3 linked regions of the Alligator mississippiensis genome follow. The protein of the gene in region 1 interacts with the protein of each later gene in a pairwise test. Links are inferred from orthologs where the notes say so. Each region holds a gene or a part of one and is shown on either strand. Other genes may lie near its edges.

The links.
Region 2: the proteins of THAP7 (region 1) and LURAP1 interact in a two-hybrid assay, tested with the Homo sapiens proteins (2 studies listed by BioGRID and IntAct). The two-hybrid records come from large-scale screens. The link is inferred for Alligator mississippiensis from reciprocal best matches to the Homo sapiens genes THAP7 and LURAP1.
Region 3: the proteins of THAP7 (region 1) and CCNDBP1 interact in binary tests that used the Homo sapiens proteins (3 or more experiments, as listed by UniProt). The two-hybrid records come from large-scale screens. The link is inferred for Alligator mississippiensis from reciprocal best matches to the Homo sapiens genes THAP7 and CCNDBP1.

The regions. Positions count from the first base shown.
Region 1 is NC_081828.1:75,277,408-75,284,342, forward strand, and holds the start of THAP7 (THAP domain-containing protein 7), read left to right. Parts: upstream 1-3,848; 5' UTR 3,849-3,932; intron 3,933-4,180; coding exon 4,181-4,260; intron 4,261-5,194; coding exon 5,195-5,350; intron 5,351-6,935. UniProt on the Homo sapiens protein: Chromatin-associated, histone tail-binding protein that represses transcription via recruitment of HDAC3 and nuclear hormone receptor corepressors.
Region 2 is NC_081828.1:3,376,151-3,383,147, reverse strand, and holds the start of LURAP1 (leucine rich adaptor protein 1), read right to left. Parts: upstream 3,087-6,997; 5' UTR 3,022-3,086; coding exon 2,818-3,021; intron 1-2,817. UniProt on the Homo sapiens protein: Acts as an activator of the canonical NF-kappa-B pathway and drive the production of pro-inflammatory cytokines. Promotes the antigen (Ag)-presenting and priming function of dendritic cells via the canonical NF-kappa-B pathway.
Region 3 is NC_081832.1:303,172-310,587, forward strand, and holds the start of CCNDBP1 (cyclin-D1-binding protein 1), read right to left. Parts: upstream 3,087-7,416; 5' UTR 2,942-3,086; coding exon 2,872-2,941; intron 2,777-2,871; coding exon 2,711-2,776; intron 2,608-2,710; coding exon 2,528-2,607; intron 2,422-2,527; coding exon 2,340-2,421; intron 2,214-2,339; coding exon 2,117-2,213; intron 1,854-2,116; coding exon 1,780-1,853; intron 1,532-1,779; coding exon 1,455-1,531; intron 849-1,454; coding exon 595-848; intron 220-594; coding exon 159-219; intron 1-158. Other genes in the region: ZNFX1 (NFX1-type zinc finger-containing protein 1), read right to left, coding at 3,283-5,715, 7,076-7,171. UniProt on the Homo sapiens protein: May negatively regulate cell cycle progression. May act at least in part via inhibition of the cyclin-D1/CDK4 complex, thereby preventing phosphorylation of RB1 and blocking E2F-dependent transcription.

The sequences.
Region 1 (6,935 bases):
TGGGCTTTCTGCTGCTCTATACTCTGGCACTGATAGGGAATGGGCTTCTAGTGGGGCTGAGCTGGTTTGATCCCTACCTGGGCTCTCCCATGTATGTCTTTCTGAGGAACTTCTCAGTGCTGGACACGTGCTATGCCTTTGTCACACTGTCTCAGCTGCTAGCTGGCCTGCTGAAGGGCCACCGGGTCATTGCACTCATGGCCTGTGCCACCCAGACCTGCATCTTCCTCTCACTTGTTATTCCCCTGTGCTTGCTGCTGGCCATCATGGCCTATGACTGCTACTTGGCTGTGTGTCACCCACTACATTACATGACCCTCATGAGCCCTGGGTAGTGCTGGGGGCCGGCAGGCACAGCCTGGGTTGATGGTTTCTTCCTCTCTGGGGTAGACACTGCTGTGGCTTTCCACCTGCCCTACTGTGAACATGCCCACATCAACTACTTCTTCTGTGAGGTGACAGCTGTGCTGGAACTGGCATGTGCTGGCGCCTCAGCTGCCCAGGCTGTGGTAATGGTAGTGGGTGTGCTGGTCCTCTTGGCTCCTCTCGCTTTCATCCTGGCCTCCTATGTCCTCATTGTGTGGATGGTGATATATATACGTTCCAGCCAGGGCTGCCGCTGGGCCTTCTCCACTTGTCTCCCACCTCACTGTGGTGACCATCTTCTATGGGGCTGCCATCTATACCTACATGAGGCCCTGCCTCAGCCTCTGGCCTATCCTGGACAAAGTTGTGTCCATCTTCTACACAGCAGTCACCCAGCACTGAACCCTCTCATATATAGCCTCCGCAACAAGGAGGTGAAGGGAGCTCTGGCCAGGGCTGCCCAGCGTGGCTCCACCTCATGCCTCTGAGCTGGCAGGGCACCCCTGCAGATAGTCCTCCACTGGCAGCATTCCTCCATCTGTGGGGACACTGGATCCTCAGAAGAAAGATGTCAGCTTCTGGCATAGGTCAATCTATGATTTTGAAAGAGGGGGTGTGGTAGATGCAACTGGTGCCACAGGGGCAGCTGCCAGGACCCCTCCCTCCCAGCATCTCCCCTGATCTTGATTCGTGCCATGGCTGCTTTTGTCTTGAGCTGTTCCACAAGGGGCTGCATGTGTTCAGATTTGGAAGACATGAAGGTGGCTCCGCTTGTTATGCAAATCGACTTTTTGCCTATTGTTTTTAATCTTATGTATTTTGTTGAGTTTTGTATTGCCTTAAGAAACTCCATTTTGTATTGCTCTGTAGCTTGACACAAGTGCTCGACCTTTTACGCTTTTGTATGCTGTATGGATGAGTGTGTGTTTGTGGAAAAGGAAAACATTGGCTGGTGACTGGCTGAAGAATGCAGACAGATAAAAGACCAAAACAAGAAGAATTTGCCCCGGAACAGTGAGAGAACAATGAAATTGACCTTCAAGGAAGAACACAGCAAAAGCCCAGAGGACAGGGTGAATTGACAAGGCTATAAAAGATGGGGCGAGACATATCGATTTTGGGTCTTGTTCTGCACGTCATCCTAGAGCATTGGTTTGTCTGACAAGATGGACCAGCAGGAGCCCAGCGCCTACTCATAATCAACTTGGCTAGCCACTAAGCTGATCCAAGTACTGATAAGACTGGTAATGTATACCACTGCAAAACAGAAATTGGGGGTATGAATGTGATGTGTGTGTGTGTATTAAGTGCTTAATCAATAAATGTGGCATCTTGCCTTATCCTCCCTCATAAGGTCTTGCTTGTGATTTGAGCAATTGTCAATTTGTGTAACACGCTTTCCTGTGCCCCCAGATGCAAGGGTCCACCAGGGTACCCCCTTTCTCCACCTGCTCCCTGCCACTGCTACTGTCTCCAACCAAGGTGGGCACCCCACATAGCTGCTTCCCATCACCTGTGGCTGGGGCAGGGCAGAACCAGCCTTGGGGCTCCCCCCACTCTTGGGTCAGCTGGGGAGAGTGGCCATAAAAGGTGGGTGCCTCCTTTCTGTGCTTGCTCCCTGTTTGCTCCCCCTGGGTGTCCATCAGGAGCACAGGGCTCTAGCCATGCCTTACACTCCCTCACCTGCCATGGTCTGAGACCAGTTCCTGCTCTCTGGATTCCAAGGGGTACCCAGGTGTCTGTGTGGGAAGTGGAGCCACCAGCGTGTCATCTAGAGAGCGCACTACTCTGCATCATGGAAAGGGGGTGCAACTACACTACTGCACTCCCCCTGGATCCACCCCTCACTTCTGGGTGAGGAAGACCAGGCTGTGGTCTACCTTCAGCTGACCAGTACTGTTCCAGCCTTGCCAGCAAGGGGTATTTAAAAATGACAAGATTAGATTAAAATAATTGTAATATAATAAAGAGTTTAGACTGTCTTTCTGTAACACTTTTGGGCAACTGTGCGTACGCCGCCCAGAGGGCTGGCGGGGACTCCTCCTCAGGCAGGGAGGCAGGAGCCCCTCTGCTCTGTGGAAGGAGGCGGAGGCGGGCAGGGAGTTTATATGCTAGCAATATATATATACTAACTATACTTGCCCATCCCATGGTAATCCTAATCATAATCCTAATGCAATCTAACTCTGATCCCATCCTACTGTATCTATAATAATCAGAATGCCACTCTATTGTAATGCTGCTCTTCCTTTCTCGTACACTGTTGTAATATTAAATACATTCTAGGCAATTTCATTTCATCCTATCCTATAATCCTTGTTATGATAATCTGAATTTCATCCTACCCTAATCCCAACTGTAATTTAATTCTAATCCTTATTGTAGTCTTATACTTTTCTAGCCTACTTTATCCTCACTCAAAATTATTTCTATAGAGTAATTGTCAACCCAGTTCCTTGTATCCCACCCTAATAGCTCCAATTTTCAGTTAAAAAAGACATAACCCTAAAGCCACATTTTTCCCCGTGATTTAAATGAAATGCTGCTAATATAGAGATATATGTATACTAGCATTTCATTTTAATCACAGGAAAAAGTGGATTTGGGGTTTTTTGGGTTTTTTTTAAACCAAAAATTGGGAAGTTTTTTAAATCGGAGAAAACCAGGATTCCCCCTTCTCAGGCGGGTCCCTGCAGGGAGCCTGAACTGGCGTCAGTAATGTGGGAGGCAACATAGGTGACTTCAGCCCCAAGCCCACCCCATCTGTTTCTTCCCCCCGGCTCCGTGCAGGGGCGGGGGCACGACGCCGCCGAGGGACTCAGTTCCTGCACAGGCTGCGGTCAGAGTCCGGGTGGAAGGGCCGGGCCGGGCCGGGCCGGGCCGGGCCGCAGGAGGCGCTTTGGGTCCCTGGGTCGGGCGTGGCTTCACGCCGGCACGGGGAACACGGACGCTGCCTCTGGGAGGCTGCACCACTGCTTCTCAACCAGGTTTAGTAGCACTGCTCGCCGGGAGGGAAGAGACAAACCCGCACCCCCGGCGGACATGGGAAGTCCCGGGCTGCAGCTGGAGCTCAGCGCCGAGACCCGAAGAGACCGCACAGTCTAGGAGGCGCCGCGCACACTAACACAGGCGCGGGGCGGGGCCGCGCCAGCCTGGGGGAGGGGCACCGGCGAGGAGCGCGGGGGCCGGGCTCCTAGCCCCACCCAGACCCCCGCCCTCCACGCTCCTACCTCACCCTCTTAGCTCCGCCCCCTTCGCGTGGCTAGGGAGGGGCAACAGAGGGGAGGACGAGAGCGCGGGGCGGGGCCTGAGGAGGGCTCCGCGGGAGGGGGCGGGTCCCGGCTCCGATTCGCTGGCAGGGAGGGGGCGGGCCCTCAAGACAGCCCCGGTCCCGCCCCCCTCAGGTCCCACAGCAAGCGGAGTACGAACCCCGATTGGCCGTTTGGAAAACCCGCTCGCTGGCTCCCGCAGCCCAGCTCTCGCGATGTTCTACGGCGCGGGATTCTCGGCCCAGCTCTCGAGAAAACGGAATTCTCGCCCTGCAGCAGAGTGATGGGAGCGGCGAGGTGAGACCCGGAAACGACCTGGGCTGGCCAGTTCCGTCCCGGCCCCGTGCAGAACCACCTCCTTCGGGCTCGCGCAGGCGGGGCGGGGCGGGGCCGGGCGGGGGCCCCCCCCCCGGCTGTGCGGTTGCGCATGCGCGGGGCTGTGTGCGGCTGGGGGTCCCGCTAGGCCGGGGGGCGGGGCCGGGCGGGGCCGGTCTCGTCTCGTCTCGTCTCGTCTCGTCTCACGGCTTCGGTGTCGCCCGCTGCAGATGCCCCGTCACTGCTCTGCTGCTGGCTGCTGCACCCGCGACACCCGCGAGACCCGCGGCCGAGGCATCTCCTTCCACCGGTGAGTCCGTCCCGGGTCTGGCGCCCTGCCTCCACCCCGGCCTGTGCGGCGCTGCCTCTGTTCCCGAGCCTGTGCAGGCCCTGCTTCCCATTCACCTGGAGGTCATCCCCCACCCCGTGTACCTCCGCCCTGCGGAGCGTGTTGTGAGGCGCCTGCCTCGGCACAGCCCCGGGCCCTCCCCACTGCGCCCCCTCGCTGGGCTCTGGAGCATGTTGAACCCATCCTCTCTGTGCAGCTCCTCACTGCCAGCTGAGCACGCTCCTGCACGTCTGGCCCCAGCACCAGGTGGCAGGGCTGAGGGTCCCTGTGAGCTAGCCTGCCTTCTACCCCAATCCCATGAGCCAGTGGGGACTAAAGTTGGGGACTTTTACACCTTCATCTGCTGCACTTCATTGATTTTGTTGTTACTTGCCCTTTCTGTGAACAGAGGGAAGCCCTGGCATGTGGCAGGCTGCAGACCTCCTCCTGTCATCACTCTGCACTTCTCCCTGCATCTCTAATTTTAGGCACTCCCTGTCCATGGCCCCACCAAGTCCTGGGATGTCCTGGTCAACCTCCTCCTGGCTCTGGCCACCTACAGGCCAGGAGGAGGTATTTGTGGGAGGAGACCCAGGCAACTGTTGGACTGCCTTCCTGTCATTCCTCCACACACATTTCTGGATAGAGTTTCATTGAGAGGCATCTGCTGGCTTCTGGGGTGTAGTGGAAGGGCAGTAGTTGCTAGCTGGTGTCCTCTACTTGGTGTCCTACCTTGGACCACTTGTTACCAACCTGTGACTTTCATTCCTGTCTTGTTTTCTCTCTTGTTGTCCAGTGTAATCTGTTAACATGCATTCTCCTTCCTCAACCAATGAAGTTCCTTGTTGTAGCAGTTAAGGCCCCCAGGTTGCCCTTTCTTGGAGTAACTCAGCAGTGCTGGCCTTATCTCTCGCAGGCTGCCCAAGAAGGATAACCCGAGGCGTGTCATGTGGCTGGAAAACTGTCGGCGCAAGGATCCCAGCGGTCAGGGTCTCTGGGATCCGACCTCCAAGTACATCTACTTCTGTTCCAAGCATTTTGAGAAGAGCTGCTTTGAGATGATGGGCATCAGGTGAGTGCAGGAAATCATGCCAACCCTGGATAACTCCAGTTTTGTGCCTCAGGGCAGAGTGGCAGTGAGAAGCTAGATCTAAACCAGCCTGGGCAAACAAGCTTTCTTGTGAGCACTTGTAATTCTGCGAGTAGCTGCCACTTTCTTTCATCTTGGGCTGGACTCCTCCACATGCCCCTGTCCTTCCCCTTGCCCCTTTCTAGATTTGTACACCTCTTTCCTCCACAAAAACAGATTGGTTTGCGTGGAACTTCCTGAGTTAGGAAGCATCTTCTGCTCCCAGTGGAAGTTCACTGAACTTCATGAATCTTTTGCCTGCTTCCCCTCCATTGAAAATGATTTGATTTACTCAGGCTGAAAACAGACATCACCTCTGTGCTGCTGTTAAATTTTTGATGGGGGCACAAAGCAAAAGCAAAAGCAAACCATGCTCTTTGTCATGCCACAAATGCCCAAATTTGTGGCCATGACAAAAAGCAGTATTAATTTTTGCTACTAGTTTGCGGTGGACTTCTGTTTGCTTTATGGCAGGAGAGCGTGGGCAGCCTGAAACTCCCAAGACTTTAGGGGCCTGATCCTGAGCATCTGGGGAATTCCCCTGCAGGGATATTTTTAGGGCATGCAGGATCATGCATCTTCAGCCCTGGGAATGCTTGACCATGTTGACCTGGGAGTGCTTGACCCCATTGCTGCATCCTGACTTGGGGCACACCTCTGCCAATGGGGGAACCCCAGGTAAGTGTTCCTAGAGCTTTAGGGGTCCCTGTTTGCAGTGGGGTGCCCTAGAAATCCCCCAGCACGGATTGTGCTGCTGCACCCTCAGGGCATGTCTCTATAAGTAGGGGAACCCCAAGGTTCCCCCACTTGCAGAGGTGCACTGCAAGTTGGTTCTCCTGTTTCAGTTGTCCCACAAGATCAGGCCCCAGGAGTAGCAGGGGCCTGACCTGGCTGGAAACAGGTGCTCAGTGAAGTGGACCAGTTGTTCTGGGAAACATCCTGGAACAGCTGATGCCACAACAAAAATGGCATCTATTTTTAGCTTCAGTTCTCTCTTAGTTCAGACACATCTCCTTCCTCCTCCTACAAAGATGGACGCGTCTATCTGGTTCTTCCCTCATCCCAGTAAAGATGGACTGGTCTGCTTGGTCCTTGTTCCCCCCAGTCAAGATGTATCTCCCTTCTCTCTGGACTCATTTAGTGACAAATGCTGAGAGAGCAGTCATCCTTTGGTACAACAGCCCTGTTAAACTACTGGTGAGATGCAAGAATGTTCCAGACCAGTGATTCTCAACCTTTTTTGAACTAAGACCCATTTGTAAACATTGATGGTCCAGCCCCCCAGCTGGTGAGGTTAGGGAGTGGGTTGTGGGGCATGGAGGCCCCCAAGCAGCCCCTTGCAGGCTGGAACTCTTATAGCCTGCAAGGGGAAAGCCACGGTTTCCCACATTTTTTCTCCTTTAAAGGAGAATCCATGTTTAAAGTTTGCTGATCCATTTTAAACATTTGTTCATGACCCTTTCATATAATTCTTGTGACCCATTTTTTGGGTCGCGACCCATGGGTTGTGAAATGCTGTTGTAGACAG
Region 2 (6,997 bases), about 72 Mb from region 1:
CCACAGCGTGCAACAGCCAGGGATGCCGGGCTGCGTCCCGCATTGCACTTAGCCAAGCCCGGGGCCTGCCTCCGCCAATTCTCAAGCCTCCGGACAAGAGACCCGCCACAGCTCCAGTCATGCCACCTGGGTGACCTCGGGCACATCACTTAGCTGCTCCGTGCCTCAGTTTCCACATTAGGGAGCAGGGTTAACAACACCGCCCTGGGGTGCCGTGAGCACCCCCACTGCATCCCCGGCCTCTGAAGCAGCTTCCGTGTTTAGACCTCAGCCTAGAAACCCACCGGGAAAGCGGCCCGCCGGTAAAAGCCGTGGCTCCCTAGATCGTCCCTGCTCCCCTGAGCCACAACGCTGCGAGCAGCACCATGCGAAAGCAATTTCCTTGCCGATGCCCCTTTAAAAAAGCCCCCGTCGGAGGCACGCGGAGCTGGGTTTTGCTGCATCTGGTATCCATGCATGGTGTACGTCAGTCGGGCGTCAGGGAAGGGGGCTGCGGGGGCCGGCAGCTGGGAGAGCGTGGGCCGGCCCGCCAGAAGGACAGGCTCCGTCGCAGGCAGCAAAACCAGCAGGGAAGGGAAGGAAGAGGCTGGTGCCAGATCGGTGGCTACAGAAACCAATGCAGGGAGCTCTCTTCATTACATTTGTGCCTGCTCATGCCAGGGATCTGGAGGACCCCCCCCACCCCCCTCGGCTGGGTCTTTATAGCATGGGGGCACGGGCTTCAGACCCCCAGAGCCATCTCCTGCTGCAAAGGCCAGCCCGGGAGAGCCTATCCGACACTCAGAGAGAACAGGCCTGCACACAAGACGCTGGGAAAGCAGGCTTCTGTGTTGTATCCGGGATGAATCAGGTCCCCAGAAATGCAAACCCTTCCTCCTCCCTCATTACACCCAGCCTGCGTCCACCCGAAAGGAGGTTGCAGAATGGGCCGCTCCTGGGATCCAGGAGGTCTGGGCTGCATCCCCAGCGCTGCCACTCACTTGCTGGGTGACCTCAAGCCCGTCACTTAGCTAATCTGGGCCTCAGTTTGCCTGGCTGTAGCCTGCAGGAGGTACCAACCCATTTTATAAAGCGTGTAGAGCGCCGATAGGAGCAGGGTGCCGTTGTTATAGGGCAGGAGATCAAGGAAGGGGGGTGATATGGGATCGGGGTGTCCTCATTAGACTCCTCTGTGCTATTATTACCCGCAAGGAGCTGCTTTCATCGCAAGCTACGGACCAACCCCCGCCACTCGCAGCTGCTTCTGGGGCGGAACAGCACAGCCGGCCGCAGGGCTCTGCTCACCGCCTCACCATTGTAACATGGCAGGCGCCCTCCCACACAGGCGTGGAGCCGTGGACAGGCACAGGGCGCTAAGGGTCGAGGCACGGGGCAGGCCAGGGCGACGCTGGAGCCGGCCCCTCCCCGATAATCCCAGGCCGGGTCAGCGCGGGGCAGGGAGTGCAGCTGGCCCCGAGCGGCTCTGCCAGAGATGGAGCAGAAAGCAGCTCTGCACCCCCATCCCTGGCACCTGCCAGGATCAAGCCCCAGGCACTTCCATTTCCTTGACCTCCTGTCCTATAACAACGCCACCCTGCTCCTTTTGGCGCTCTAAACGCTTTATAAAATGGGTTGGCACCTCCTGCAGGCTACAGCCAGGCGAACTGAGGCCCAAATGAGCTAAGTGATGGGCTTGAGGTCACCCAGTGAGTGGGGGGCAGCACCGGGAACGAAGCCCGGGTCTCCTTGCTCCCAGGAGCGGCCAGTTCTGCAGCCTCCTTCCGGGTGGGTGGAGAATGGGTGTAATTAGGGACGAGGAAGGATTTGCATTTCTGGGGGCCCGATTCCTGCCGGATCATCAGGACTCGCGATGTTACCTCGGGCCCAGCTGGCCCGGACTGAGCGGGATGTGTGGGGCACCGGAGCCGCCGGAAGGGGACTCCCAGCCAGCCCCGGGGGTTTGGGCACCGCGGAGGGGATAGGGAACAGCAAAGGTGACGGTCATGAACGGGCCCCCACAGCTGCCCTGGCACCGAATAGCTCCAGCCTGAGCCTGCGAAGCCCCCCATGTGCCCCAGCACAGCCTGGGGGGCCTGGGCCCTGGCCGGGTGCGGGAGGGGGCAGAACAGAGGGGGTGATGCCTGGGGGGCAGCTATGGCTCAGCTGGGGGGGTTATTTACTGCAGATCGGGGGGGAGGGGGGGGTCACTACCGAGGGGCGGCTATGGCCAGGCTGGAGTCTCTACCCTGCAGGGGGGCTATTGCAATACTGGGGGGTCTCTGCCCCAGGGGGAATATTGCAGAGCTGGGGGGGGTTGCTGCCTGGGGGGCAGGATGGCAGAATTGGGGCAGGGGTATTGCTGTCCACGGGGGCTATTGCAGATGGGGGGGGTGTTAAAGGTGGGGGAGAGGGCTCGGGGCTGTGGAAGCTATTGCGGGGGCAGTTGCTACATGAAGCTACTGCAGAGCTGGGGGGGGCTGCCCTGGGGGGGCACTGCAAATCCTTGTGGGGGGGTCACTACTCAGAGCCGGGGAGGGGGGCTACTGTGGGGGCTACGGTAGAGCTGGGGGTGCTGCCAGGGTGGGCAGCGACATTGCTGCGGGGGGGCTACTGCGGAGGGGGGGGGCTACTATTGCAGAGCTGGGGGGTCTATTGCAGAACAGCGGGGCTCTGCAGAGCCCGGGAGGGGTGCTGCAACCCTGGGGGAGGTGCGGCTGCGGGAGGGGGCTAGTGCAGGGGGCGTGCTGCAAAACAGCGGGGCTTTGCAAAGGTGGGGGGGTATTGCAACCCAAAAGGGTCTATTGCAAAACAGCGGGGCTTTGCGGGGGGGGCACTCACCAGCTCGAGCCGCAGCGCCGCGATCTTGCCGGACAGCCCCGCGCCCTCCCCCGCCCCGGCCGGCCCCGGCCCCGGCCCCGGCCCCGGGGGCAGCGGCAGCAGCGGGTCCCCGCGCAGCCACCGCGCCAGCCCCGCGGGCGTCCCGCGCCCCGCCTTGCCCTCCAGCTCGCGCAGCTCGGCGGGCAGCGCCGCGCCCGGCTCCATCCCGCCCGGGCCGGCCTCGAACCCGCGGCCCCCCGCCGCCGTAAGGCTCCGTGTGCGCCCGCCGCCCGCGCCGTATTCCCCCGAGCGGCGCGCGCGCACAAACGCGGCGCGCGCCCTCGCCCGCGCCCTCCCCCGCGCCCGGCGCCCCCTCCCCTCCCCTCGCCGCTCCCTCTCCCTGCCACCGCCCTCCTGCGCCGCCTCGGGCATGTCTCCGCTCTGCGGGGAAGCCGAGCCCGCGGCTGCCAGGGCCCGGGAGCCGGTGGTTGCGGGGGGCCGCGCCCTGCCCAGGCGGCTCCCAGAAACCCAGACTTAATGCCCACATCTGAACTCGGAGCTGCACCTGCTGCCCCTCTCCCCGCCGCAGCCGGGCTCCCCGCTTCAGAGAAGGCGTCCCACAGAGACCAGCCCCGGCCCCCCCCCGAGTGTCTCCTGGCTGGGATGGGGGCTTTCGCCAGGCCCACAGCACGGCGGCGCTGACAGCTGGCAAAGGAAGCAGGTGTGCAAGTGCTGGAAGGAGCTGGCTGAGGGCTGCGAAGCTGTCCCGTGCCTCAGTTTCCCCACTCTGTGCAGTAACAGCCTTGGGACGATTGCCGTGCACGGCTTGTAGGGACGGGCTGCCCCCTCCGTGCAAGGCCTGCTGAGACCCTGGAAACAGCTGAGCAAGTGCCAAGGGGATCCCCGGGGTGTCAGGGCCCAGTGGACTAAGGCCATGGGAGCAGGAGTGCTGCTGCCGGCACGCGGCCGAGGGCCATAATTGACACCCCCGCCTTCTCCCGACCAAGGGTGATTCATTAGCCATTTCCGTTTGGAGGCTTCGTTAGCCAGCTGCGCCACCGTGTGTAAGGCACGGCCTGCCCAGCCCCGCTCCCGCTGGTCCATCGGGCTGCCAGTCCTCTGCAGCGAGAGAAGTGCTCGTTTGGAGACGCTCCCTTATGGAGGAGACCACGGAGGTCGGGCATTGGGAGAAGGCCCCTCCATTCGGTGAATTAACGAGAGACAGACCAAGGGTCTGCAGAGGTTGAGTGCTGCTCCGCCATAAAGGACACTGTTAGTTCTTCTCAGTCCCCTGTGCCCGTGTCTACCGAACCCGGTGATCACTGTGTGCTCAGAGGCAGGGACCGAGCTGGTTGCACGTCTGTACAGGACCTAGCACAGACAGGGTCTGGATCTGGGTTTGAGCCCCCAGGGCCTGCTGGGATAAAAATGGATAAAGAACCGTGCAGGAGTCCTTCACGCAGTTGAGAGAGATGGGCATTTCTTGCTTTCCAGGACCATCCCTTTCTCCACCTCCGTGGGGTCTCCATGGCCTGGTTACACCTGACCGTGTATAATAGTATTTGCATAAGTCCCTAATCATTTGCACGGCCGGAGCATGCGGAGAAGCGGGTCGGAGGCACCGCAACGGCTCACCCACACTAAAAACAGGATCGTCTCTCGCATGAGCTGAAGGAAGAGCTCCTGCAGCACTTGTAGACTCTTACCTTTGTACCAGGGCCACATGTGGGGGATGCTCACACTCTCCGGGGCATTGAGGCTCCAGTGTCAGTTCAGGTGGGGAAACTGAGGCACGGAGCTCATGAGGTGTTTTGCTGTGGAGCGAGCAGGCCTGAAGGACAGGAGCTGGGCAAGGATGGGGGCAGCATGTGTTGTGGCCTGGCATGTGTGCACACCAGTGCATACATGTGTGCATATGTGTGTGCTTAGGCATGAGGACGTGCTGAACCCCCTGCCACCACCGCGGGGCACTTCCAGTCTTGCTGCACAGCAGAGGTGGGCTCTTGCACCGTTCTCTGCCCATTTCACAGATGGGGTGACTGAGGCATGGAGCTATAAACCACCAGGCACTTTGCTCTGAAAAGCCAATCGCTCCTCTGGTCTCTGTGGACAGCGCGACCTTAAGTGTCATGCCCAAGGCCATGCAGTGGGTCAGTGGCAAAGGGAAGAGGCCTGTGTTATTCTGTGTAGTAGGGCAGTGCCTGGTGACACAGAAGTGGCCTGTCCCCACTGCACAGACTGGAGAAACTGAGGCAGGAGAGGTATGTTTGGCATGCCTAAGGTCCTGCGGGCAGTCAGTAGCTGTCAGAGACACCTCTGTGGACCACAGCCCAGGCATCCGAGTCCCCGGTCCCTTCTCCTGGGCCTCTTTCCTGACCCCGATGCCCGCGAGGAGGCACCAGGACTCACGGGGCCACACTGAGGACATGACGGGACCCGAGGGCCTGGCTGCCCCTCGCAGAGACCCCCACCTCCAGCCGTGCCAGCTGGCTGCTGATCTCCCCCTGGGGAGGCAGGCGTGGAGGGAGGAGATGCAGCCCTTGACACTGCGGGGGGAAAGGAGGATGGGGGATTTGAGGGGCTCGTAGGCTGTGCCTGGTCCACTCCAGGAGAGGCTAACAGCCTCCTACTGCTGCCACCAGGCAATGGAGCAGTTCCCTTCGCACAAGGGCCAGGTGCGAGCTGCTGAGATCCGGGCAGCGGATGTTGTCCAGGGAGAGCAGGGCTCTGCCACTGCTTGCCTGTGCGACCCTGGCCCTGTCACTTAGTGCCCATGTCCTGTCTACAAAGGAGGGCCGAGCGCTCTGCCTGCTCCATCCAGGTGCCAGTGCCTGCTGACTGCAGCATGGTGCAGTGGTAGGGGACAGCATCCTAGGGGCAAGGAGAAGGTTGGTCCCTTCCCCCAGCCACGAGCCAAGACCCCAAACCCAAGCCTGTTGCAAGTGGGACATCCGGCTGGGCCCAGTCAGCCCAGGGGCGGTGGCGCACTGCCCCCTTGTGGAGGAGCGACGCTGTCTTCGCCCAAATCTATGGGCCATGCATCCCTGGGTCTCCCGTCTGGGGGCAACGGGGTCAGCCCGGAGCGGTGATGCAGGGTAGAGGGAAAGGGCCTGGCCTTGCTGGCAGCAGCCCAGGAACTGATGGGGTCCCAGGGGATGAAGGCAGGCTGCCCCCGATCCCCTGCAAGATGGGCGGAGGGTGGGCACTCCCCGCAGGCCAGCTTGAATGGGGGAGGCATGAGAGGGGCTGGCACCCCCAGCCCTGTGCAGCCGCTCCGAGCAGACCCTCTGAAGTCAGGACCAACTTCTACCAGCCTTTGTATACGTGTGTGTGTATGTATGTGTGTATATATGTCCGTGTCCGTGATATATATGTGTGTACATGTATAGACATGTGTATATAGATATGCGCATATATGTGTCTATATGCAGGTATACGCATGCGTGTATACATGTGTATGTGTGTATATACGTGTGTGTGTGTGTGTGTGGTATGTGTCAGGGATATATTTGGTAGCTGTGTTGGTCTGAGACAAAAAAAGAAATGACAACTCTAGAACTCTTGGCTCAGAGATGATACCTTTTATTAGACCAACCGAGAAATTGCAAAATATATCATTTTTTCCTTCAAGCTTTTGGGCTTGCACACCCTTCCTCAGGCTCAGGGAAAGTTAAAGATGGTAAAAAGTCCCATAGGTAGGAAATAAATTTCATTTTTGCACCGAGGAAGCTGAGAAGTATGTGTGCGTGTATAAATTGTGTGTAGTATGTATGTGTGTATATACTGGATCACAGGAAAGCAGGGCTGGCAGGGGACTCAGGAGGTTACGTCCCGTCCAGCCCCCGGCTCAAGGCAGGAGCACCCTTCCCTAACCCATCCCAGCCATGTGTCTGTCCAACCCGCTCTTGAAAACTTCGCGGGCTGGAGATTCCCCACCTCTCGGTGCCTGTTTCCAATGCCTGACCCCCCTCAGCACCAGACAGTTCCTCCTCATCTCCAGCCTCAGTTCCCCTCCTGCAGCTTGAGACTGTTGCTCCCAGTCCTGCCGCAACAGCCACAGAGAAAAGCCCATCTCCATCCTCCCTGCCATCGCCCTTCAGGGATTTCAAGACTGTTATCAAATCCCACCTCAGTCTTCTCTTCTGCAGGCTCAGTCCCCCAGTTCTCCCAGCTGCTCCTCCTCGCTCTCGTCCCCCAGGTC
Region 3 (7,416 bases), on another chromosome or scaffold:
GGATGCCAAGGGGGCCCCACACCAACCAGCTCTCCTCAGCTAAGGGAGTTACTCTGTAGTTACTCTGTAGCGCTGGCTCCCCCGTGGACACGCTCTGCTCTCCACGGGAGCCAGGCCAGGGCCTCTATACAGGAAGGCTGAAGAACAGCAGGACTTACATTGAGGCGCACAGCCAGCTGGTTCATGGGTGGATACATGCTCAGTGCCAGCTCGTCCACACTACGGCAGAACAGAAAGAGCAGTCACTACAGGAGGGGGACCCCCTGGCAGTGCCAGCAAGCACACAGCCCAAGGTGACACCAGCCACCTACTGAATCGCCTCTGAGAGCAAACTGGTGCTGCCAGGTTCAGCATGGGTTCTGCCTGAACACACTCTCCCTTGCCTTGCAGCCAGGGCATCACTCCTGTTCCCCAGGCTACTTCCTTGGAGCTCTCTCCTGCCCAGCTAGGATGACACCTGTAGCCCATCTCAGAGGTCCAGGGTCAAATGCCCCTACTCCCACCACCAGCTCAGAAGGCAATGCAACCCTTGCGAAGATGCTGCTTCTAGCACAGCACCCAGCAAGCCACAATGAAAGGGAAGGGAGGATTCACCAGGGGCTGATCTCGTTGGCAATGTCTGCAAGGTCATCCAGCTGCGCGACATGTTCCGGTGTGTCTGCTTTGCCGTGAGCCTTCACTGCACCCAAGACCTTCTTCAGGCAGGCTTTGGAGGCCTTCATCAGCCCCATGCAGGGGCTGAGCAGCTTCCGGTCTGCCTCGGACCAGTAGGTATCCCGATTGCCTCGAGAACCCAGCTCCTCATCCTCCATGATGTCCCCGTAGGGGTCACCTCCTTCAACCTGAGCCTGAGGACACAAGCACGTCGGGATTCTGGAACCCACCATCTGCCCCAGGCATGACGAGCAATCCCCAGCACACCCAAGCTTCCCTCAGGATCCCCCAGCTCCCAGGTGTCCAAGGCCATTGCTGAGAAGGCTTCTCTGTAGGAGACTGATATAGAAGTTAGACCCTCCCCTCAAGGCTACCGAATGCCAAGAGCTTGCTGGGAAATCTGATGTCTTTTATTAGGCCAACTATTTAATTACTTAATTTAATAAAACATATTGCATTCACCCAAAGAACCATGTCCAGCTATGTCCTTAAACCATCAGGGCTACAGCCAACACGCCTAAAACAAGAGCCTGCCGGAACACCCCTCTCCCCACCAGCAAACAGCCCCTCAGGGAGAAGCCAGGGACGCGAGTTGCAGCAGCCCCATATCGAGCTAGAAACTGAACACTTCACAGGCGCCCCCGCCGTGTGGGGCTGAACATCTCGGTCTGAGTCGAAACCAAAACACAGAAACCAACTGGACCGCTGTCCGGGGCAAACTCATTGCCTGCTGTCACAGCAGCACTACTGCAAAGCCCAGAGCTGACAGCTGTCTGTAGAGGGAAGTAAGGGCCTCTTACCTGCTCCATCTCCTTCAGGGCATCCTTGACCACTTCCAGATACGTGGCCACAACTGACAGGACGGCTGCCTGGTTATCTGCACGCAGAGGCCAGAGGGAGGTGAGTGGGCCGGGGGCTGTGCAGACCCCGCCGCCTCCCCGGCTCGCACCACGCTCCCCCGCCTCCCTGCAGTCGCTCAGAGCTGCGGCGTCCCCGCATCAGGCGACTCGGCTCGTGCGGCAGGGGCTGGCCTCCGAGGAGCCACCGGCTCCGCTCCGTCTCAGGGCTACCAGGGCCAGTGCTGCTGCGAGCAGAGCTCTCGCTACCTGCAGCGACGCCACCTACCTCGCGGCAGGCTGGACACCTGCTCGCACGCCTCCCACACGCCGCCAGTCGATACGAGCTGCTCCCGAGACAAACTGAAGCGGAGAAAGAAAATCCCTCGAGGCCCTGGGCCCATCGCCGCTGAGAGGACTGAGCAGCACCCGGCAGCCGCCTCAAGCTGCGAGCCTGACCAAGCCACGCAGACCCCCGCCCCCGCCCCACGACGCCCAGCCCCAGGCTCCCAGCCGGCCCTGGGGGCGCCCGGACCGCACGCATGCACGCACGAAGCCGCTGCTCTCCCGTGGCCGCGACCCGCCGCGAGGCCGGTCGAGCTGGGGCGGGGCAGGGCCAGCGTTACCTCTGCAGAGCGCTGCTCAGGATCACGTCTGTGAGCTGGATCGTGCCCTCCACCACCTCGGCGGTGGCGTCGCGCACCATCTTCCGGAGCGTGGTCCCTGGGAGAGGTTTAGAAGGAAGAGGCTGATGGCCGGGACGCGGGGGCCGCTCTGCACGGCCCCTTCTGCCCCCGCCAGCACCCTCCCTCCCGGCTCCTCCTGGGGGCAGGGGTGCGGCCGCCTCACCTCGGTCCTTGGGCAGCCCGTGGTAGGCCGCGGCGGCCGCCAGCACGGCATCCCGCACACCGTCGCACAGCTTCTCGCGGTCCTGCGGGGGGGCGAGGCGAGGCGAGGCGAGGGTGAAGGGGGCGCGGGGTGGCGGGGAGCCTAGGGTTGGGGCGGGGCGGGGCGGGGGGCGGCCGCGGAGCACCCACCTGGGCGCGCGGCGGCAGCGGCCCCGAGAAGGCCAGGCTCAGCTTCGTGGCCTCCCGCGACGTCGCCTGGAAGCTCCGGGCTGCGCAGCCCCCCGGCCGGGAGACGCGCGGTCACACACCGCCCCGCCCCCGCCCCACCCCCCCCCCCCGCGCTGCCCGCCCCCGCCCGCACCCTCCCGGTACCGAGCGCGGCCCAGAAGCGCGGCGGCTGGAAGGCGGGGCAGGCGCGGCGGGCGGGCGGCTCCCCCTCTGCAACGACACGGGCGGCAGCGGCTCAGCGCGGGACCGGGACCGGGACCGGGACCCCCGGCCGAGACCCCGCCCCGCCCCGCCCCGCCGCTCACCGCGGACACGCGCCAGCACCGCGCGCAGGGCCCCGCCGAGGCGCTGCAGCGGCTCCAGCTCCGGCTCCATCGAGCGCTGTCCCCCTAGTGCGCACACGCACTCCCCGCCGCCGCGCACGCGCAGACAGCGCTGAAGCCGCTGCCCTGACTGGCCCCACTGCCCGAACCTGGGGGAGGGCCCGGCAGCCGGGCGGAAGACGCCGCGTAGGGGCTGCTTCCGCCCTGCCCCGCGCCCACTTCCGGCGCTGCTCGGGTGATGGCAGGACCCCCGCCCCCCCGGGGCGGAGCAGGCACCTTGAGTGACTGGATAAAATTTATTGCGGTGAAAACGCGGACAGCGCGGGCGGGGCGGGGCGGGGCGGGGGCGGGGCGGTAAAGTGCGGCGGGCCGTGGCGCGGGCGCGGGCGCGGCCTAGAGCAGGCGGCCGAGCTCCTCGAAGTTGAGCAGGTTGTTGGCCGTGTCGGACCAGGCGGCGTGCGCGGCGCCGTCCATCTCGGGCGCCAGGCGGTTGGAGTCGTCCAGCGCGTGGTTGTGGCCGCCGATGACGGCCTGGCACTCGGGGCAGACGCCCTGCTCCATGGCCCCGCCGCACTCCCCGATCACGTACACGTGCCCGTTCCTGCACTTGAACCAGTGGCCGCGCGGGCAGCCGATGGCGCTGACGATCTGCACCCGCTCCTCCTCCGAGATGCCCAGCCCCGACGTGGGCAGCGCGGCCTTCAGCTCCTCCATCTTCACCCGCACCGCCGCCTCGTCCTCCGCCGTGAACCTCCCGGTGCGCTGCAGCAGCGTGCGCAGGGCGGCGACGTCCTGGGCCAGCGCGGCGCTGAGCCGCGTGCCGGCGGCGCTGCAGCGGGTCAGGAGGTTGGCCAGGTACGTCACCCGCTGCATCTCGCTCTGCAGGTCCGACAGCTCCTGGCTGCTGAAGCTGAGCCGCTGCTTGCTGAGCCACTCCTGCACCTCCGCCAGCCGCTTCCTCAGCACCTCCCGCTCGCTCGGGTCCAGCTTGCTCAGGGACCCGGTCAGGTCCGCCACGCGCTCGTAGAAGTTGATCAGGTTCTCCAGGAGCCCGACGCTCTTCGTGGAGAGGTTGGGCTGCTTCAGCCTGTCCTCCAGCCGGTCGTACTTGGTAGGCAGCACCCTCCGCAGAACGGCCTTCCCTTCCAGCGTGGCCTGCAGCCTGTGCCTGCTCGTTTCAATTTCACGCGCTGGGCCTTGGATTTTCTCCTTCACCTTCTCGATCTCCTCCAGCCGCTTTTTCACAATGGTGCCGTATCTCAAGTTCTTTCTAATTGGCGTCTGGCAGATGGGACACACCTTCAGCTTGACGGCACTTTCGTCTTCGTCCATGTAATAGTCGAGACCTTGGGACTCAAAGATGTGGCCGCAGTCTTCCAGCTGCACAAAGCAGGCTTCCGGATCCTCCTCAAAGCCAAAAAATATCTGAGTGACTTCATCGTGGTCACACACAAGGCACTTTTTGGGGCAGGGTTCCCCGCACAGCCCGATGCAGGGATGACCACAGCGCAGCTTCTTACTGCACCGTACATCACAGCGGGGCCTGTTGCATGGCTCTGAGCAAAGCTGCGTGCACTGGTAGTGCTGGCACCGCCACTCGCATGGCTCCATGCATGGGATACACATCTCCCCACATTTCTTTTTACACTGACTGTGGACGCAGTGGTTCTGACATGCTTGCTGGCAGGGAGGGCACTCCCCAGTGCAAGGTTGCTGACACTTGTGGGAGCAAACGAGGAAGCGCTTGCAGGGGTTCTTGCACTGCTCGTGAAATCGCCCTTCATAGCAGGTGTTGCAGGAGCCCGGGCAGACATGGCCACAGTCCAGCGTGGTCACACATTTCGTTTTACACTTCACAGGCATCCCATTTTCCATCTCTTCCGTGATCCAGCATTTCACCTGCTGGTCGTGGCCACATTTTAATGTGACCATCACCAGCTCAGGACACTGCGCAGTGCATTCCTGCCCACAGAGCTTGTTACATTTGTGCCCACATGTCAGATACTTCTGACAAGGCTCTTGACAAGAAAACTCACTTGCAGGGGTGGAGCAAGGAACCATCTGTGGGTGGCCGCATTTGGGGATAGTTTTCGGCACTTTCACCATGCATTCTTCACAGGGTTCAGAGCACAAATGGGGGCAACGGTGCCCATCTTTGCAGAGCACCTTCTGGCAGGGCTTCAGACACTGAAACTCCTTGTGCTGGATGTCATAGGGGTGACATGCCCGAGTGCAGACGTGTCCGCAACTCAGCCTGAACTCACAGGGGCGGCTGCAACCCCCTTCTGGAACTTGGCAGAAGTCTGCTGCTTTGGACACCAGGGTCCGAGTGTCAGGGTGGTTCTGGCAGCACAGTATCAGCGAGCGGCCGATCCGACCTTTCTCTCGGAGAGTGTGAATGATCTTGCTCCAGAGGGGGACCTTGCCGAGCATCCCCATGTTCCCAATGCAGTACAGCCCTTTCTTGGCTCTGGATAATGCCACGCAGATCCGGTTGGAAATCTGCAGGAATCCAGCTCTCTCTTCCCTGTTACTTCGCACAAGTGAAAGCAAGATAATGTCGTTCTCCTCACCCTGGTACTTATCCACCACGTGAACTTTCACACCTGCAAAGGTTTTGGCAGGCATGAGCCTGCGCAAACAGAAAAGCTGCCCAGTGTAGGTGGTGAGGATGGTGATCTGAGAGGGCAGGTAGTCCTGGCACAGGAAGTACTTGCATAGCTCCACCACGAATTTGGCCTCGTGTGGGTTCTGATGGCTTTTCCCTTCCTGGATTTCCTCTTCAGGGAAGTCATGCTCCACAAAGAAGAGGTTAGATGCAACCCCCTGAAATGAAAAGAGAGGGAAAGGTCACCAGAGAAAAGAAGAGTTCCTTCCAACATGGCAACCTTCCCTTTTGCATCTGTGGTTTCCTCCCTAAGACTTCAGGCATAGTTTACAGACACCGGGGCGGGGGGGAGGGTGTTGGGTGGTGCAGTGCGGCAGAGCATCACACACCTAAGGCAAAGCCTCTGTCAGACATTTTCACAACATAACTAGCAAGAAAGAAAGACTTTCAGGTTGCAAGCCATGCCTCAGAGTCCTGATAGGACAGCACTGACAACTCAGAAATGCTGCACTATTTGGAAGACCCAAGTTCTCTCATCACCTGCAATATTCTTCACATTATCTAGAAGGGATGGGTGCTGGTGGGTGTTTGCAAGCAGATGTTCCATACACTAAAGACAAGTTTTCCTTTGAGGGCAGGGGAATGGGTGGATGGACAGGCTTTATCACTTACAGATACACCCAGCAGCTTGGGTGGAATGCACACGTGCACTTTCCAGTGACGTGTCTGTGTGGTACTTGCAGTCCACATAAGTCTCATCTCAGGGTCTGTGGCACTTTGGTTCTGAAATCCAAATAAGCTCATTCATTTAGAGGTGCGTTCCTCCTCCTTTCGCCCAACTTTAGGGCCTGAGTATTTAAGGTCTTGTATTTTGTCTGAAGGAGGAAGGGATATCTGGCAGCCCTTTGCTTTTGTGCCAGCATAACTAGTTTGATGGAAAAGGGCAATACAGTGGATGCACTGGCTCATACTTTGGGCTGCACTTGTGGCATGCTTGTCACAAAGGTTGGCCACTACTGGCCTTCCCACACTGTTCCTTACCACTTTGTTCCACTGTTAGTCATCCTCACTGCTAAAAATATCTGGTCTAATTTAAAATTTGCCTCAGTTCAGCATTGACCTGTTGGTTCTCGTTTGTTTCTGCTACATTAAGGAATCCATGAGTGCCGGTATGTTCACCTCATGAAGTAAATACATAACAATCGAGTTGCTGATCTGTTTTCCAATAAGAAGATTAAGGTCCTAGGGTGCCTCGTTCTAGCAGTGTTTTTCGAGCCTCCAATCATCTATGCATCATTCTGCATCTTTCAGGTCTTTGTCATCTTTCTTAGAAGGTTGCCGTAAGAACTGGATGCAGCACCATAGTCTGTCTTGTTGCTGCCACATACAGTTGTCTCTTATAGCACCTAATTCCCAAGTCAGCTGTCATATTTTTTAAAACAGATGAATTTAATGAGTGAGGCTGAGGCACTTCAGTATAACCCCAAAAAGCAACCAGGTATGATGGAGCTAAACAGAGGGTTCCAGTTACCAGTAAAAGGTTTGAGACACACTGGTTAGCACCAGCTGTGAATGTACCTTGATGTTCTCATAGGTGAGGACCGAGGGGTGGTTCTCCAGCTCCTGGTATATGTGAGGAGTAAGGAGCTGGGCAATCTCAGGGCGCATGCGGTGCTGAAATACAAAGTTGTCAGGTCAGCACTGCCGGAGGAGCACAGCCAACTTCTCACGCTGGAGGGAACTGTGCCTCTCCCCTGCTAACCATCTCTGGCTTCACTGGGGAACAAAGAACACACACAAGGCAACCACCACGACACAGAAACCTGGATTCACAAGGCCACCCCCTGCTCTGTCAGCCATTCCAGTCCAGTCAGCAGAAAGGGATCAGAAGTGTCTTCACAAAGGCTGTTTGCAAGGAC